Linked DNA regions of Schizosaccharomyces pombe. The protein of the gene in region 2 interacts with the protein of the main gene of each other region in a biochemical or structural test. Each region holds a gene or a part of one and is shown on either strand. Other genes may lie near its edges.

Region 1 (5,991 bases), 680 kb from region 2:
TAGGAATATGAATACGCGATTGATATTGAGTAATGTTCTGGCACAAGCGTTTTCAGCTGACAGATTTAAGCAGTCTGTTTTATAACTATTCTCAAGTAATACTTTCCCATTGAAAATAAAAAGTTATTTTTGTAATGTGGTTGGATTGTATAGTACGACTCTGCGGTTGAAGAAATGCAGAAAGCATCTTTGGCTAGCAATATAAATAACAAAAAAAAAAAAAAATTAGTCAAGCTAATTTTGTGTTTTATAAACAAAAAAAAAAAACCTTTGGAACAAAATTCTTAGTATACAAATTGCGATAACGTATTGTAATAGCCAGCACTCAATTTGGATTCTTAGTTTCAAGATATACATATATCGCTTGGATTAACGCTAACACCATTTTTTACGATTATTTTTCGCCTGCAAAAGAAAAAATCATAAGGGAAATATTATATATTTACACCATACCTTCGCTTTTGATTCAATTAGCTTTGATACAAATACCTGTCTTATAAAACTGGTGTTTGCCCTATTGCAACACCTCCATTCCCTTAGTACTTTTTAAAACGTTTCATTATGACTGCCAAACTCAATTCAGTAATAATTAATCCCAGCGTGGCGCATACGGCCACTGTGATTTTCCTTCATGGTATGAACGATGATAATGTTGAGACAAACATATCGTATATTTTCTTCATAATAGTAACACATTTATCTTAGGTTTAGGAGATAGTGGACAAGGATGGTCTTTTATGGCAAATACGTGGTCGAATTTTAAGCATATTAAGTGGATCTTTCCCAATGCGTAAGTAAAAGAATGTATTTAATCATGCAATTGTCTAAAGTAATGTGTGATGAATGAATGAGAATTCGCATTACATACTTTGTATTTTGATGCTAATTATTTTGTATATAGTCCATCTATCCCTGTTACCGTCAACAATGGCATGAAAATGCCAGCATGGTAAGTAATTGTTCTGCTTGATGATAAAGTACAATGTTCGCTAAAACTTTTTTAGGTATGATATCTACAGTTTTGCGGATATGAAGAGGGAGGACGAGAATGGGATACTACGTTCAGCAGGCCAATTGCATGAATTGATTGATGCAGAACTTGCTTTGGGGATTCCTAGTGATCGCATATTAATTGGCGGATTTTCACAAGGTATGAGCTGCCATGAAAGCGGTTAACTCGCTAGTCATTGCATTTTCAAAAAAAAAGTGAAATGGTTTTCACTTTTCAAAAGTATATTGCTTACTAACTCGTCATTTTCTCTAGGTTGTATGGTTTCCCTTTACGCTGGACTTACCTATCCCAAACGTTTAGCAGGAATTATGGGGCATTCAGGGTTCTTACCTTTGGCTTCAAAATTTCCATCCGCTCTCTCTCGAGTTGCTAAAGAGATACCCATTCTTTTGACTTATATGACCGAAGATCCTATTGTTCCCTCTGTCTTGTCGAGTGCTTCAGCTAAATACCTCATCAACAATCTACAGTTAAAATGTCTCGATCGACCTTTTGAGGGAGACGCCCACTCTCTCTCTTCAGAATCGTTTATGGCTATGTATAAATTTACTCAGACAGTTATTGGTTCACCATAAGTATTGTGTTTTTGGTGTTGAGACTTTGCAAATGAAGGAAATTGACGAGTCTTTTGCACTTTTAGAGTTACTCATAAAATTAAATAAGATTTACCGTGATTAACTTTTCCCTTTTTTAGAAAGCAGTTTCATACTAGTAACTTAAGACTATGAATTGTCATCCCATTTGGTAGGTTCTCTCCAACAGTTTTACTCATTTATGGCATTTTAAGGATTGAAGCATTTTGTTTTGAGTATAGATACTATGGAGTTTAGTTTTCATTTTTAGTAGCAATATTTCGCGACGCGTTCATTGTTTACATGTAGCTGCATCAAGTATAATACATGATTATGAGTGCATATACTCTATAGTTGAACTTGTAAAGTAATTAAACTAAAGAAACAAATAGATCTACTGTTTTTTTGTTGTGATTTAGAGAGGTAATTTTGGGAATTTCCGCAATATATATATCGTGGATAACTACAGCAATTCTTCTTTCTACATAGTACGAACAACAACCAAAAACCGTGTAATTTGATTAATACACGTTCAATATAAAAATAAAGTGCAATGGAAGAATTCGCAGAGGGGAATGATGATGAACAAATGATATTTAGTGACATTGAAGACCTAACTGCTCACGGTAAGCTTGAATGAGTATACGGCAGTTATAAGACTCCCAGTATTTGCTTTAAATATCTACTAACATAATCAAAGGGATTGGTATGACCGATATCATAAAATTGAAGCAAGCAGGCGTTTGTACGGTGCAAGGAGTCCATATGTCCACAAAGAGATTTCTCCTTAAAATCAAAGGTTTCAGCGAAGCCAAAGTGGATAAACTGAAGGAAGCGGCATCAAAAATGTGCCCAGCAAACTTTTCCACTGCGATGGAAATCAGTCAAAATCGTAAAAAAGTATGGAGTATTTCGACAGGATCCGAGGCACTCAATGGCATCCTTGGAGGGGGAATTCAGTCGATGAGTATTACAGAAGTATTTGGAGAGTTTCGTTGTGGTAAAACACAAATGTCGCATACATTGTGTGTCACTGCCCAGCTTCCTCGAGATATGGGCGGGGCCGAAGGAAAAGTAGCATTCATAGATACAGAAGGAACATTTCGACCTGATCGAATCAAAGCCATTGCAGAACGATTTGGTGTAGACGCCGATCAGGCTATGGAGAATATCATTGTCAGTAGAGCATACAACTCTGAGCAACAAATGGAATACATCACAAAATTAGGAACCATTTTTGCTGAAGATGGCCAATACCGTTTGTTAATTGTCGATTCCATCATGGCACTATTTCGGGTTGACTATTCGGGTCGCGGGGAATTATCAGAAAGGCAACAAAAATTAAACATTATGCTTGCTAGATTAAATCATATTTCTGAAGAGTTTAACGTAGCGGTCTTTGTCACAAATCAGGTTCAAGCAGACCCCGGAGCAGCAATGATGTTTGCGTCCAACGATCGAAAACCTGTAGGAGGCCATGTCATGGCTCACGCAAGCGCGACCCGTCTGCTGTTAAGAAAAGGTCGAGGTGAGGAACGTGTCGCAAAATTGAATGATTCTCCAGATATGCCTGAAGCCGAGTGCAGTTATGTGATTACACCTGGTGGCATAGCAGACGTTTCCTAATTGATTTTCTACCTATTCCAAAAAAAAAACAAAAAAAGAAGAGAAATAAGAAAAAAGATCAGCCAAGTTCAGCAATGCCTTTTATCATTGCGTTTGTGCTTATGTTTTAACAAAATTGAGTGCACTGATTACGTTAATGTTAACATTTTACTGCTGCAATACTATATCTTTAATACAATAATCAGTTCACTATTGGTCTCTAAAATGGCTTTAAAGAAAAAGTTTGGATGAGAAGCTCGCGCCATTTTAGATAACCAAACCAAGATTTTCTTAACTACACATTTATCAAATAGTTGCGAATGGCGCAAACCCCCAAAAGCAACTTATTCTTACGAGTCAACAAATTTGTTTAAGTAGTGTCATGTGAAGTTGCTATCGCATGTATCAATTAACAAAAGCTGAGCGCCTTTCATTGCAATCGTTGGACAATCTGACTTCCACCAAACAATTATATCGTGTGAGACAGAATTCGTCATCACCTTTGTTCCAGTTTATTTCCCGATTCTATGAAGGCCTGCAGATTTGCACGTGTTCAGGCACCTTCCTTTCGATGTTTACCTTTTGCGTCAATATGACAAAAGGGGTACAGTTTCTCTTGATCCGTTGCCAAGGATGTGTTTACCCCGGGGCTTTGTCGCAACAAACGAGAACAGTCCAGCAGCCAGGTTTTTCGATAACCTTCTGTCGTGCCGATAAATTACGATGCGCAGTCGCTAAATTCGACATACAGAAGCACAGGGCACGTTTACGCAGTGCTACGAAATTTTACTGTGGGAGCAGTCCTTTTTCTACCATACGACGTTCCGCAACCTTTCCAGTGCCAACCACCACGATATACTCACATTTTCGAACGTTTGGTAAAAATGTCTACTACTTCTCGTGAAGATGCTGTTTATTTAGCCAAACTTGCTGAGCAAGCCGAGCGCTATGAAGGTATGTGCTTTTATAAGGTTTAGAGACGCGTAGAGCAGAGATATATTTGGTGTTATTTCTGCAAGAACAAAATTACACACATCCAAGGTTCTATCGGCGGAAGCTTTTGAGTAAGCGGGCTTCCTGTAAAACATCGATTGCATTTATTTTTGACATAGTTGTGATCAGAGGCTTAGTTGGTAGAATGTTTGTGTTTGTGTGTTGTATGGTGGTTGTCAAATGAACTGTGCATTGGCTATGGTGATGTTGAAAAGGTGTTTTAGTATTTCAACTTGTTTCCTAACTTTATTTCTAATTGTTTTTACTCCGAGAAGAAATTTTTTTGTTCATACAGACATACGGAAAATACATCATGCTGCGCATCTCGAAAGTCGAAATCCTTATGTACTTATCACTAATATATCCAGGCATGGTTGAAAACATGAAAAGCGTTGCCTCCACTGATCAAGAATTGACCGTCGAAGAGCGTAACTTGCTCTCTGTTGCTTATAAGAATGTAATTGGAGCTCGCCGGGCGTCTTGGCGTATCGTTTCCTCCATCGAGCAAAAGGAGGAGAGCAAAGGCAATACTGCTCAAGTTGAATTAATTAAGGAATATCGTCAAAAGATTGAACAAGAACTTGACACTATTTGCCAAGATATCTTGACCGTTCTTGAGAAGCACCTTATCCCTAATGCTGCCTCTGCCGAATCCAAGGTTTTCTACTACAAGATGAAGGGTGACTACTATCGTTACCTTGCTGAGTTTGCCGTTGGTGAGAAGCGCCAACACTCCGCTGATCAATCTCTTGAAGGTTACAAGGCCGCTTCTGAAATTGCTACCGCCGAACTTGCACCTACTCATCCTATCCGCTTAGGTCTTGCTCTTAATTTCTCCGTTTTCTACTATGAGATCTTGAACTCCCCCGACCGTGCTTGCTACTTAGCCAAGCAAGCCTTTGATGAAGCTATCTCCGAGTTGGACAGCCTTTCCGAGGAATCCTACAAAGATTCTACTTTAATCATGCAATTGTTGCGTGACAACCTTACCTTATGGACTTCTGATGCTGAATACAGTGCCGCCGCTGCTGGTGGTAACACCGAGGGAGCTCAAGAAAACGCTCCTTCCAATGCTCCAGAAGGCGAAGCTGAGCCCAAGGCGGACGCATAGATAGCTCGTTGCTCATGATTGATGCCATACTTTCACTACTATGAACCAATTTTAAAAAATTTATTTGTCTAAGAGTTCTTTTTCGTTTAGATCTTGTGTACTACACGATGGAATAGTCTCATTACATTCTCGTATATTTTCTTCTAATTTTTTTTTCTTTTTGTCTTTCTTTAAATTTCTTTTTTTTTTACAGTCGTAGTATATGTGTGTATTTGGTAGCTGCTGTAAAAAATACAGTAGTTGGACGACATTTTAATTTCGAGTACACAACCCGTAATGATTTGCTTGGCTAAGTGGGTGTTGAGTTAATCAAGCAATAGTCTAGATAGATGTGAGTTTCAAACTGAAGAGTTGGTAGATTGAGAATGTTTAAGCCTATCGGATTGAATTTGAGCTTTTTGACTGATTTGCACCGAATTGCTTAATATTCCTTGCATACGACCGATGTACCACTTTTTACACAAAGCTTAAAAATTTGTATGTTCTAGTGATACTCAAACATTATTAAATATAAAAGCTTTAAGTTTGCATATAAAACGCACAGTAAACATTTGAATCGATGCCTGTGAGACCATGCATACATTTCACGCCTCCAGAAGGATTTATGAATGATCCCAATGGTCTGGTTTACAGTAATGGAAAATGGCATTTGTTTTTTCAATGGAATCCAACAGGAAACCAAGCCGGTAATCAACATT
Region 2 (6,689 bases):
CATTAAAGGGAAAGAGGAGTACCCCAATATACACATAGATTGAAAAATGCTAATGTTGGCCCCTAGTAATTTTATATTTAAAGAACAAACCGCTTCCCCAAACCATATGAGCGCGACAACGACTGTAAAAACAGATTCTCGTTCAATCTTGTCAGTAGACAAGGCAAGTGCTAAAGCAATTACGAGGGAAAAAATCAAAGGACCCCACAAGTCCCAGTCGCGTAGTACTTGAGCATTTTTGGGATACAAAACATAGACGAGTTTTTCACCAATAGCTCTAAATTCATTAAATAATGTAACACGAATGGGTTCGTCCAGAGAATCTCCTCCAGTGAATCTTGTTTCAACAATTGACTCTCCAGCAATGTTGTCCGGCTCTATCGCTCGAGACTCCACATCGAGGCTGGATCGAACAGGATCCATGCGAAGAAGATTTTCCATTTCATCCTGTTCTATTTCTGTGTTATGTTTTCCTATGTCTGTCATTTCTAAAATATAAGATGGTAATTGAGTATGGTTTTGGTTTGGTACTTCGCTGGTACATTTCTCTGTTAATTTTGTAGTAGCACACTACTATGCTGGTCCTCAAAACAGTAAGATACCACCACCATGAATCCTAAAGATACAATTAACTATCATTTCAGTGAATCTAATAAAAATTTAATTATGTTCCTAAAACTTACAATATATCCTCTTAAGAATTGATTTTTGATAAAAGTGTGCTAATAAATACATAAAGAAGAAAAAGAATATTGTATTAAGTAAAGCAACCGAAATCCCAGAAGTTCAATGAAGCTTGAACATGAAGTCCTACTTTAGTCAATGCAAATATTCAAAATAATAGTAAAAATTTCAAGAATTTAGCATTTTGCGTGCGTTTTAATGCAAGTGGATCCTTAGGCTTCTTTAGTATAAAAAAGAAAGAAAAAGAAAGAAATTCTTCTTACTTTAATACCATAGCAAACTTTTTATATTTAATTTTTTATTTGAATTTGTAACAAGACAAGCATTTTTGGGTAGTAGAGATAAATATAATCATATAGGTCTTTAAATGTAAAAAAGAACGAAAACTTCTATGAAAAACTTTTAGCGAATATTAATTTAAGTGAAACATTTTGTTCACCAATGTAACCCAATCACCCAAACATAATTAATGGCAATTACAAAAACCTGATAGTTTAATGCGAATAAACGTAATGAAGATTTAGCAGAGAGTTAATAAGTGTGATCAAATGGTTTTTGCTCTTTTTTAAGAGCATACTTGAAAGAAAAATATGAGATACAGAGTAAATCGTAAGGAAATTATCAAAAAAGCATCACATACATATCTATCCTTACAAACTCATCCCATAGAATTTGCAAAATAATAAATAAAAATGAAACGATACTAAAATAATTTAGACAGGTGCGATAATTTCCTTGGGATCACCAACACCATCAGAATTAATGGCAAATATGGCTTCGCTCTCAGGCAAACACGGACTATCGTAAATTTTACAAATGCGTTGCTCACCACGACCTTTCCGCAAAGAAAGTCGAGTGGTACTCGAATGGGCAAGAATATTACCACCAATTGGTTTTTTGGGATCAGGATTAAAGGAAATGCCATCCACTTGGGCGACCACCTGATTAGTAATGACAACAGCAATACCGAATTCATCTGCCAAGCGCTGTAGCGTCCGCATAAACCTTGCTAAATGCATTTGACGAGCAGAGAGCTCTCCACGACCAGAGAAATCTGTTCTATACAAGGCAGTACAACTATCGACAACTAACAATGAAAATCGGGATTCAGACATCATGTTTGCCGCTTGTTGGAGCAACTCTAGTTGATGGTCTGCATTGTAAGCACGAGCATATGCAACGTTATCCAAAACTTCCTCACCATTTAAGCCATATCGATCTGCAACAGCCAACAAACGAACAGGACGGAAAGTTCCTTCTGTATCGATATATAAGCATTTACCTTCACCACCACCCATATCGATAGGAAGCTGACAGGTTACCGCAAGTGTATGGCAGATTTGACTTTTACCGGTACGGAATTCACCAAATAATTCTGTAATGCTTCCAGTCTCAACGCCTCCTTGTAACAAAGTGTCTAGTTGTTTTGATCCAGTTGTAATCGTAATTAATTCACTTCTTCGAATATGGTACTCAGTGGCGGTGGTAAATCCCATAGGAACTAGTTTGCTTGCCTCGCCAAGTAACTTATCAGCCTTTGCTTCAGAAATTCCTTTAATCAAAAGTAGTTGTCGCTTAGGAGTATAAGCAATTGATTCCACCGTGTAGTATCCGGCTTCATGAATTTTTTTTATGTCGCTAGCAGTAATCCCATTGCCTTCCAACATTTGTAAGGGCATAGGACCGGCGGCGGCCTCATCTTCTTCATCTTGTACATTCACGTCGTATTCATAATTTGATTGTGCTTGTCCATTTTCATTATTATTCATATCTGCTGCACTAACTTGCATTTCCACCTCTGTATCTGCCATTATAACTTGTTAAGCACGAAATTATCACTATTCTGGAATTGAAAAGAGTTTTTTATATTATTAAAGAAAAGAAAGATTAGGTTTTTAAAAAATAAATCAAGGAAATAGTTTTGTTAGAGAAAGAATTGGTTTATGGCAAGAATTTTCTTGCTTAGTAGGGATTGTGAAGGAATTAAAACGCGTCCGACGCGTTTTCAATCAATTGTTACCTAGTACTAGCAAGGTAACACCTACTAAATAGACACACACATTAGGGTAGGGCTGTAAAAATAGTCACGAGATAGGGAACGAAACAAAACACAGTTTTTTAACACTTGCATTTACAACAAGAGAACAGCACTGGTCAAAATGTCTGCATCTGAACTTGCTACCAGTTATTCAGCTCTCATTTTGGCTGACGAGGGTATTGAAATCACCGTACGTTATATTTTACTAGAAAAGTTGTGAATGTACTTCTACCGATACTGGTAAAAGATCTTTTCCATAGCGTGTAGTCGTCTTATTCCTTCTTATTCGGTTTTTGTTAAATTAATTTATACTAATTGTTGCGTAGTCTGACAAGCTCTTGTCTTTAACCAAGGCTGCCAACGTCGATGTTGAACCCATTTGGGCTACCATTTTCGCTAAGGCTCTTGAGGGCAAGGACCTTAAGGAACTTTTATTAAACATTGGCTCTGGTGCTGGTGCTGCTCCTGTTGCTGGCGGTGCTGCTGCTCCCGCTGCCGCTGATGGCGAAGCTCCTGCTGAAGAGAAGGAGGAAGCCAAGGAAGAGGAGGAATCTGATGAAGATATGGGATTCGGTTTGTTTGACTAATTTCCCTAATCTGCTAGCATGAACTAGTTGATCCAACTCAAAAAATAACCATTTTTCTATATCTCACTTAATATCTTCTTGTGTTTTGAAATTAAAAATTTAGACCGAGTAATCTTTATGAAACCGCCTTTGATCTGCGCCAACTATTTGTATGGCCAATGTTGGTGATTTTCAGACATATGTGAAGTAATATTATCAGGTGTAAATTGATTCACAGTACGAACTGCATATTTTGATATTAAATTTTTCAAGTTAATCGGTAGGAGTGTTTTAGTACTAATATTTAATAATAAGCATTATAGCGCTATTTTGAAATTTTAATACATCTCGGCCTCGGAGTGTAGGAGTTTGTGGCCCTTTGTAATTAGGACCGTAGTTGGAAAATGAAGTGTAAGGTTTTTGGCTGATCTTTATACATTAAGCAGGTTTTTACAAGTTAGCGTTTGCAAAATGTAAGTATGAAAGGAGATATTATCATTTATTGTTCACAAATTTCTTGCTGAATGAATGAGTTCTTAGTTATTAGGCACTGTGTATGCGATGCTTTTATTAATTCTGGCTGAAGTATAAAATTATTTAGCTATCTCTTTAAAGTTGATATTACTTTTGGGATTGATTCCGAAAAATATTCGACACATCATTTGCCCATTTTTACTAACACCGTCCCAAGGAAGACGCGAGGGCTTCAGCTATCCTCTACCACATACAACATGAATCCATCATGTGTGGTTTATGGTAAGTTAAATTTTTGTTTAAAAGTAATTCTAATAAGTAGTGGGCAATATTCCTTATGAAATGGCTGAGGAACAGGTCATTGACATCTTTAAGCAAAGTGGACCTGTGAAATCCTTTCAGTTGGTCATTGACCCTGAATCAGGGCAACCAAAGGGATATGGGTTTTGTGAATATCACGATCCTGCTACTGCAGCGTCTGCAGTTCGAAACCTTAACAACTACGATGCTGGAACACGTAGATTGCGTGTAGATTTCCCAACCGCTGATCAAATACGAAGGCTTGATAAATTATTAGGTCCTTCAAGATATGGATATTATCCTCAATCTTATGCCAATCAATCTTACACATATGGAAATAACTTCGGTTCGTATCCTCCAACCCAACCTTCTACTCAACCTCTGCCTCAGTCTTATGGATATCCTTCATATCCCCCTGCTGGCTATCGTGGTGGCTCTGCGAGGCCATCCGGCGTTTTAGCAAATGATGAAGTCTATCGCGTGTTAGCACAACTTGCACCTAACGAAATTGATTATATGTTATCTGCTATCAAAGCTCTTTGTTTGGAAGCACCGGAGCAAGCAGCTCAACTTTTTGAGACAAATCCCCAATTGAGTTATGCTGTTTTTCAAGCTATGCTTATGAAAAGATACACCTCTGAATCCGTAGTGGCAGACTTGCTGATTCCGGCCGGTGTTAATTTACCAGGTGCGCAAGAACCTAATAGAGGTTACTTTTCACCCATGCATACGTATAGCTCTGCAGTTCCTGGACCTATTAGTGTGCCGTCTGCTCCATATGGACGGGCTTCCTCAACAATCGCCGAAGTTTCACCAATGTATGGTTCGCACGCCGCACCATATGCTTCGACTCCATCTGCAGCCGTTGGATCGTCGCGGGGTTCAACCCCTGCTTCTGCCACTGTACCAATTTCTCCCGCTCGAGGTTTTCCTACTACCTCAGCTTATAATCCCGCTCCCCCTGCCTATGGAATGGCAAATCCAGCTTATGGTTCAACAGGCATCAGGTCAAGCAGTATTCCCTCATCTGGTTCCATACGAAGCCCATCCCTAACTACAACTTCTGCACAAGCTACTACAAATGCTACCAACAACATAACTACTACAACTGCAGCACAAGATGAAAATGCAACCAAGGCTGCATTAATAGCTCAATTAATGGCACTGACAGATGATCAAATCAATGTTTTGCCTCCTGACCAAAAAGAGCGAATCCTTCAAATTCGACAAGCATTGCCTAGTAGTTACAAAACGGAGAGTAAATAGACTAATGTATTATGTTTCGTTAAATATTAAATGAGATAGAAAAAAAAAGTATTTTTTTTTTAATTGGTTGCACTTGTACTTCTGTTTATTGTGTCTGTCACGTAAACCGCACTTTTGTTCGGACCAGGAATGGATCCTTTGACGAGAATACACTCGAGATCTGCATCTACCGCCCAAACCAATAAATTTTTCACTGTCCTACTCCTATGACCCATATGTCCTGCCATTTTCCTTCCTGGCAGCACACGGGATGGTGTAGTATTTTGACCTGTAGAACCTGGTGTACGGTGAGATAAAGATGCACCATGAGATGCATTTCCACCAGAAAATCCCCATCGCTTCATTACACCGGCAAATCCTTTTCCTTTTGTTATGCCTTTAACGTCGACATATTGCTTTGGCTTGAAATAATCAGTAGTGAAAATGGTTCCAGGTGATACCAATCCTGACGCATCACGAACTCGAAACTCCCGGACATGCATTTTTGGATAGATATTATGGGAAAAGAAATTCCCTTGCTCTGCTTTAGTAATAGATTTAGGCTTGCGGATTCCTGATCCAACTTGTACTGCATAATAACCATGTTTTTCTTTTGTACGCACATCAATTGCCTGCACTCTATCAAATTGTAGAATCGTTAAGGGAACCTGCATACCAGTTTTCTCATCCCAAGCATTAGTCATTCCTTTTTTGACAAGAATCACGCCTGGTCGCAATGGAATTTGCTTCCTCGCATGCGCTGCTTCCGGTAAATCATGCAAGATTTTTCGAGGGGTTAAATTTGCATGGTGTGCAAAGGTTCGAATGAGAGTCGGGGATATTAAGAACCGTGATTGCATCTCTTCAGCAGACTTTACAAAGCTTCAAGCAGGTTGAGTAGGAAACCTTGTTGACAACGATGTTCGGAGTATAGAAGCTCATCGTTATTTTGCTGAAAATTTATTTAGTGCATTGTAACGTATCTGATAGGAAGTTGAGGTGAATCAACTTCATAGTCTAAACATTTCTCAGATAGTATCTGTGTAAGATGAGAAGAGCAATTCAACTGCGTTTTAAGTCACGTCAATAATATGAGAAATACTAACTGACAATATTTAAAATTGTAAAATATAGCCCTTCTATATTGCTTATAGTAAGGTATTCCAAGAGTTTCAGTAGACATCGAACAATGAATGCATAACGGAGTAGGTAAAGCTACTTTTTTCTCTTTTTTTATTAAAAAAAAAATTACAACAGGTTTGAATATTCATCTTACTTTATACTCATTTGTGTGGTATATTGGACGGATAAAAGCGAATAATTACTATTTGTACAACCACAATACTTTCCCATCGCGATGTAATTTCTGTCAAGTATTTTAC
Region 3 (5,584 bases), on a different chromosome or scaffold from region 2:
TTCCCCCAGAACCACCAACACTACAAGTAGATCGTACACCACAACAACCTGACCCTCAAGAAACGTCTGAGTCCTTGCCCTCGCCTAATACTGAAGAGATGGGTGAATCCTATAATGATATTCGTTTCACTTATGATTACATTGATGGAAGGTTTTTGGAGACTGCGTGTGTCACGCTTATTGTGGTAGTTGTCGGACTGGTTTTAATGAGACGCCATCAACAGCATCGACTTCAAGAACGACGTGAGCGAATCATCCGTAGACAAAACCGCGCTTAATAAAAATTGTATCTTCGATTTTTTTGCGTTCTAATTTAAAATTTTGTTGCTCGATGGATGCAGAATAAAAAATATATGTATGTTAGGGTTCGTCGGTGATTAAATCATGCTTTGAATAAATTTTGTTTTTCATCTTTCAATTGGTTGATCTATATTTGTTGTCTGTCAGCCAATTAATCGACTTTTGTTGTTTGAATGTTAAATATCTCCAGAAAAAATTTAGAACCAGAAGGTTCAAAATCAAGAAATTTCAAATTAATGAGACATGTTATTGTATAATGCTAATAATTATATAAATTAAAGTCATAAACTCAGCCTGGAACGATTCATTGTTACATGTAAAGAATTTCGATACCAGCTCGGCGCAATTTGTATGTAAACGATTAAGGTACCTCTGTACGTTCAATTAGTATACCCTTGATTTTGGTGTAAGCTAGCTAAACATATTTAAGTTCGTACTAAAGGTTTTCTAACTAGTACGAACGAAAATTTTTTTAACAATAGTAAGGAGTCCTTTACGATTTCCAATCACCATTTTCTTCATCAAAAGACATCAAATGAACAGGAACACCAAACTGATTTAGAAACATACTCATTGTAAATTCAGTTCGTACTTCCTGAATTTGCCCTTTATTTTCACCTTCTTCAATACGAAAGGACTGAGTAACACCTCCAGCCAAACGAATACGTTCAGCCATTGGTTTAAAAAGTACTTCAGCGGCTTGCTGAGCAGCATTTTTCCATTTCTGTATCAACGTTTGCAAGTCTTTATCTTCATTTTTGGCTTCAACCTTTCGTGCAGTTTCGGCGGTTATGAGCTGCTCTTGTAAATTTCTGACTTCTTTTTCAAGTTTTAAACGACGAGAAAGCAACTGTGTGATTTCAGGGTCGGACTTTGGATTAAGGCAATTAGAGATAGGTGACTTGAAAAGTCGTTTTTGCCGTTTTATTGAATTAGGCGTTGTTCTTAAGGGAGAAGTAACAGGTTCTGAAGAAGTGTTTGTTTCATCAGAGTTAAGATTTGTTACAGCTAACGATGGTTTTAGATTAGTGTCTGCAACTTGAGGACTGGCAGTTTGTCTTAAGGGGCTTTTGAACGGCTTAAGAAGTATATTTTTGGCTTCTCGAGCCCTTTTCTTTGAAAAAGGTGTAGTAATTGGTAAAGAAGTATGTATTTTTGTATCTCGCAGGTCCGGCGTCAAAGCCTTCTCATTCTCTGGATGTACTGTTTCTGACTGCTCGATAAAACCTAGGTTATCTGAGTGATTGCCACTGTTATTGCATTTAGGAGGGTTTTCTATTCCTAACTGACCCTGTGAGTCACGTAAATCACTTTCGCTTAGGGAAACTTTCAAATCTTCTTTACACTGTGAAGTAGCATTTTCATTGAGTTCAGAGTTAATTGTTTGCGACATTTTCAGTTAAATCGTTTTAAAGTACTAATTCGAAGATGAAAGAGTGAATGTTAAATTATAACAAAGATGCAATGAAGCGCGTAACTTTTGTCAACAAACGCGTTGAGTGTAATAGTTGAATGTTTAAACTCTAACTTCAAATAATTAAATGAATTGAATATTAATTGTTATAGAAATGAAGAAATACCACAAATTCCAGATAAACGTTGAAAACGTTTTACTAGCAGAAGGTGAAAATAACAGCAAGCAACAAGAACTTAGGTAGAAGAAGACTGAAGCACATGACTGGTGGTTCCAAAAAATTAAATGTTTATACAAATTACGATAGTAATAAACTAAAAGGTTTATTAATTTACAAATTTGTTTTTTAACCTTTTTTAAACCGCGTAGGCTTTGTTAGAAGGTAATCTGGGAATACCACCTAACTCTACTGACAATACTAGGAGAAAAGATTTTGGTACCTACAGAAGGTAATATTTAAGATAAATAGATATCTTAAAAATTCACTTGCAATTCTCGATGAGTAAAAAAGAACATTGAAGGAAAGGACATTAAAATTGCTGGAGGATTTTGTTTAAAGTATCAAATTCATGCCGTCTTCGTATAAAATTTAGAGAACCGGTTTAAATATTATTTCATTAACCAAGTTGACGAAGAAATTACTTAAATTTTGAAAACTTGCTACAATCGTCATTGAGAGATTCAAGAGTTCGTATTTTTTTTTTACAATTGCAGAACAATGTCTATTGACTTTGATTGGTCAAAGTTAGACTCAGAATTAGAAGCAAAAGTTTTACATCTTCTCGAAGGACAAGTTTCGAATTTGTCGCTACCATCTTATATAAAGCATTTAAAGGTTGTTGACTTCCATTTCGGCAAAGTCTCACCTCAGATTACTATTCAAGAAATCGGCGATCCTGATCCCCAATTTTATGAAAATGAAGCTTTCGAATTAGCTAACCAAGAACTAGAGGGTGATCAATGCTCCCGCAATAATGTTTCACCAGTGCTTACGGATCTTCCACCTTACGCTGCTGAACATCCATTTTCAAGACTAGCATATTTTAATCCCGCATTTAATTCACCCGGGATTCTATCTGCAAGTGGACTCACAAGCCCAATTCCTGAAAGTCGCCCAAGTACTCCAATGGATAATCATCAAGAAAGAGATCGTTCTAACGATTTCCAAGTTACTGCACACGTATCTTATGACGGAGACGCAAATCTAAGCCTGGAAGCGGTTCTATCGATGAATTACCCGAACTCTGAATTTGCAGTTCTTCCATTCAAACTTTCATTTATTAGGATTTCCATCGATGCCATTGCTGTTTTGGCTAAAATGGGAAAGCGGACGCATCTATGCTTCGTTGATACATTGCTGCACGGAACTGGAGAGCATGCATCAAGTGTTATTCGAGATTTAACAGTGGAAAGTATTATTGGAGAATCTAATAAACAGCTGCTAAAAAATGTTGCTAAAGTCGAGAAATTTGTATCGGAAAAAGTTAAACGTATTATTGAGGATGAACTTGTCTGGCCTAGCTATATAACCATTGAATAATTCTTTACAATTATCCTAAATATATAAAAAATTTCCTTTAATCTCCTACTTAAAGGTTTAGGGATTTAGAAAATATTTTTGTCTATACATTGAGCTCTCTCATCTACCTCAACTTACGTTAATGAAACCATTTTCTCCTTCTCAAACCAATTTTGAAAAGGAACAACTTTGCTTTGGTGTATATCAACTTAAGGATTGCTACCAGCAAGTAATTGAGGCACTCTCGCTTGGTATTCGCGTAATTGATTCAGCAATTACATATCGAAATGAAAAAGAATGTGAACAAGCCATTCAAGATTTCTGCCATCAAAATGTGAATATTAAACGTGAAGATATCACCTTAATAACTAAGATTCCTGACTCCTTACAAGGATTTGAACGTACCTGGAAAGCGGTCGAACAGTCTCTTCGCAGAACAGGTCGTCCAAAGTTAGACGTCGTGCTAATACATTCACCAAAGTGGCCCGTACGCCGTATTGAGTCTTGGCGAGCACTATTGCAGCATCAAAAAGAAGGAAGGATAAACAAAATTGGAGTTTCCAACTATAATATTCATCATTTGGAAGAAATTATCAGTCTTGGGTTGCCCCTTCCAGCTATTAATCAGGTCGAATTTTCTGCATTCAATAACAGGCCTACTTTTCTTTCTTACTGTTTTAATCACGGTATTTTAGTACAGGCTTTTTCACCGCTAACAAGAGGATATCGTCTTAGTGATATTCGACTCTTAGATTTATCCTTAAAGTACAATAAAACACCGGCGAATATTCTTCTTCGTTATTGCCTTCAGAAAGGGGTTTCACCAATATTCAAAGCTTCGTCGTTTGTTCATATCCATGAGAACGTGAAGGCTGAGCAATTCATGCTTGACCCATCAGATATGGATGTCATGGATACTTGGGATGAAGAATTCGTGAGTAAACCTACTTGGAATCCTATTATACTTCCTTGAAACATTATAAAAATGATTTTTTGTTAAACTTATATCTCATTGTATGTAGCTTATCATAAATTATGTCTTTGTAAAATATGTGGTATCTCCAAAGTGCTGAGCACTAACCAAATACCAACCACGAACGTCTAATGGAGAGGGCGGATTTTTTCTGGATTGCATAAAATGAGTTATAATATATCTTTGGATTCATTACCTTGTAAGTTTTTTTTTTATGTCTTCTAATCAAATTATTTAGACTTTGAATCTACTTATAACGAAGAAGATAGATCAGCAGCTGCTCAAATTGTTGAGGAGGAGCTAAAGAGATCTGGAGGTTTACTAATTAAACAAGAGGAACAGAAAAAGAAATTTCAATCCCATCGTTTATCAGATCGACTGGAAAATGCCATTGTTGCGGCTGGAAAGGGAGAAAAACTTGCAGCCATCGACGTTCAACGCTACATACAGCTAAAACCACCGGGAACCCGTGAAAGCCTGTTGCAGTCCGCTGTTGTATGGGAATATCAAAAATCTCGCAATGATAACCTTTATTTGCTAGAAAAGCATGGAGAAAAAGCATTTGATAGTTCGTTGGAGGCTTTAGAAGTTCAGCTAGAATTATTAGAAAAAGAGTTAGTAAACACCAAAAAACTTTCGCAAGGATGTAATCGTAAAAGGAAGCATTATCAAATGGAAGTGGGTGCCCGACTTGCTGAAGCTGAAGTAAAGTTTGGACAATTGCTGCAGAGCAGCATTCAGTGCCGTGTTGCTACTCTCTTGTCATAATATCAATTTGATTGAACGTAAATATTATCCCTAATGAATATCATAATCAGAGTTACATTCTTGCGTTAAGGTAATTCGATATAATCCAGGGTGACTAACTTAAGCTTCCTTAGCACTATGGACTTCTATGTAAATAATTAAACATGCCTCACATCAAAAAGACTCCCGGTTTTCGTTTAAGGTTAGGATTACTTTTGATAAGAGTATCCTAGTAAACAGTTAAATGTTAATACAATTACTACTATGCGCGTTATTATGGGCCAACCAAGTCGTCGATTTTTTAACTAAGTTACTTTTTGTCTAACCTCAGTAATACGTACTTTCTTGATTATATGCTATGGATCGTGATCAATAGCTATAAACACTTCGTCGCAGCTTCCTTGTTACTGAAATCTTATTATTACTTATACGTTTAACAGCTGAATGATTTCTCTTAATTTAAAGTTTTTCTCTTTACATTTTCGAATACTTTACAAAAATTTATCGCAAACTTTATAGGAAAAATTGTCGTTAGATGAACTATGACTATCTAGGAACCAATAGTTCTTTTTCATAAATGCATCAACGAGTAAGTTAAAAAAGCACAAGCTTAGACGGTACCACACTTGTC

What was found.
Region 1: the proteins of rad51 (region 2) and rad24 form a complex in vitro, tested with the Schizosaccharomyces pombe proteins (one study listed by BioGRID).
Region 3: the proteins of rad51 (region 2) and sfr1 form a complex in vitro, tested with the Schizosaccharomyces pombe proteins (5 studies listed by BioGRID).

What each region holds. Positions count from the first base shown.
Region 1 is NC_003424.3:3,380,195-3,386,185, forward strand, and holds rad24 (14-3-3 protein Rad24), read left to right. Parts: upstream 1-4,032; 5' UTR 4,033-4,073; coding exon 4,074-4,143; exon of another isoform or gene 4,144-4,342; intron 4,343-4,550; coding exon 4,551-5,293; 3' UTR 5,294-5,491; downstream 5,492-5,991. Other genes in the region: SPOM_SPAC8E11.04C (palmitoyl-(protein) hydrolase), read left to right, coding at 562-634, 706-790, 902-949, 1,005-1,150, 1,265-1,587; RecA family ATPase Dmc1, read left to right, coding at 2,138-2,210, 2,285-3,210; inv2 (beta-fructofuranosidase), read left to right, coding at 5,853-5,991. UniProt on the Schizosaccharomyces pombe protein: Acts in cell cycle and stress checkpoint signaling by sequestering signal transducers regulated by the checkpoints. Required for the DNA damage checkpoint that ensures that DNA damage is repaired before mitosis is attempted.
Region 2 is NC_003424.3:2,697,610-2,704,298, forward strand, and holds rad51 (RecA family recombinase Rad51/Rhp51), read right to left. Parts: upstream 2,661-6,689; 5' UTR 2,496-2,660; coding exon 1,398-2,495; 3' UTR 501-1,397; downstream 1-500. Other genes in the region: SPOM_SPAC644.13C (Rab GTPase-binding protein), read right to left, coding at 1-486; rpp101 (ribosomal protein P1), read left to right, coding at 2,844-2,912, 3,049-3,309; rna15 (RNA-binding protein), read left to right, coding at 4,020-4,044, 4,085-5,328; mrpl9 (mitochondrial 54S ribosomal protein uL3m), read right to left, coding at 5,388-6,167. UniProt on the Schizosaccharomyces pombe protein: Required both for recombination and for the repair of DNA damage caused by X-rays. Binds to single and double-stranded DNA, in the presence of magnesium, and exhibits DNA-dependent ATPase activity.
Region 3 is NC_003423.3:1,576,797-1,582,380, reverse strand, and holds sfr1 (DNA recombination mediator Sfr1), read right to left. Parts: upstream 1,926-5,584; 5' UTR 1,694-1,925; coding exon 794-1,693; 3' UTR 501-793; downstream 1-500. Other genes in the region: hrd3 (HRD ubiquitin ligase complex subunit), read left to right, coding at 1-278; ERMES complex subunit, membrane tether and lipid transfer protein Mdm12, read left to right, coding at 2,433-3,254; SPOM_SPBC28F2.05C (xylose and arabinose reductase), read left to right, coding at 3,376-4,206; Prp19 complex subunit Cwf7, read left to right, coding at 4,372-4,405, 4,445-4,974; ppi1 (cyclophilin family peptidyl-prolyl cis-trans isomerase Cyp2), read right to left, coding at 5,564-5,584. UniProt on the Schizosaccharomyces pombe protein: Involved in DNA recombination repair and meiotic chromosome segregation.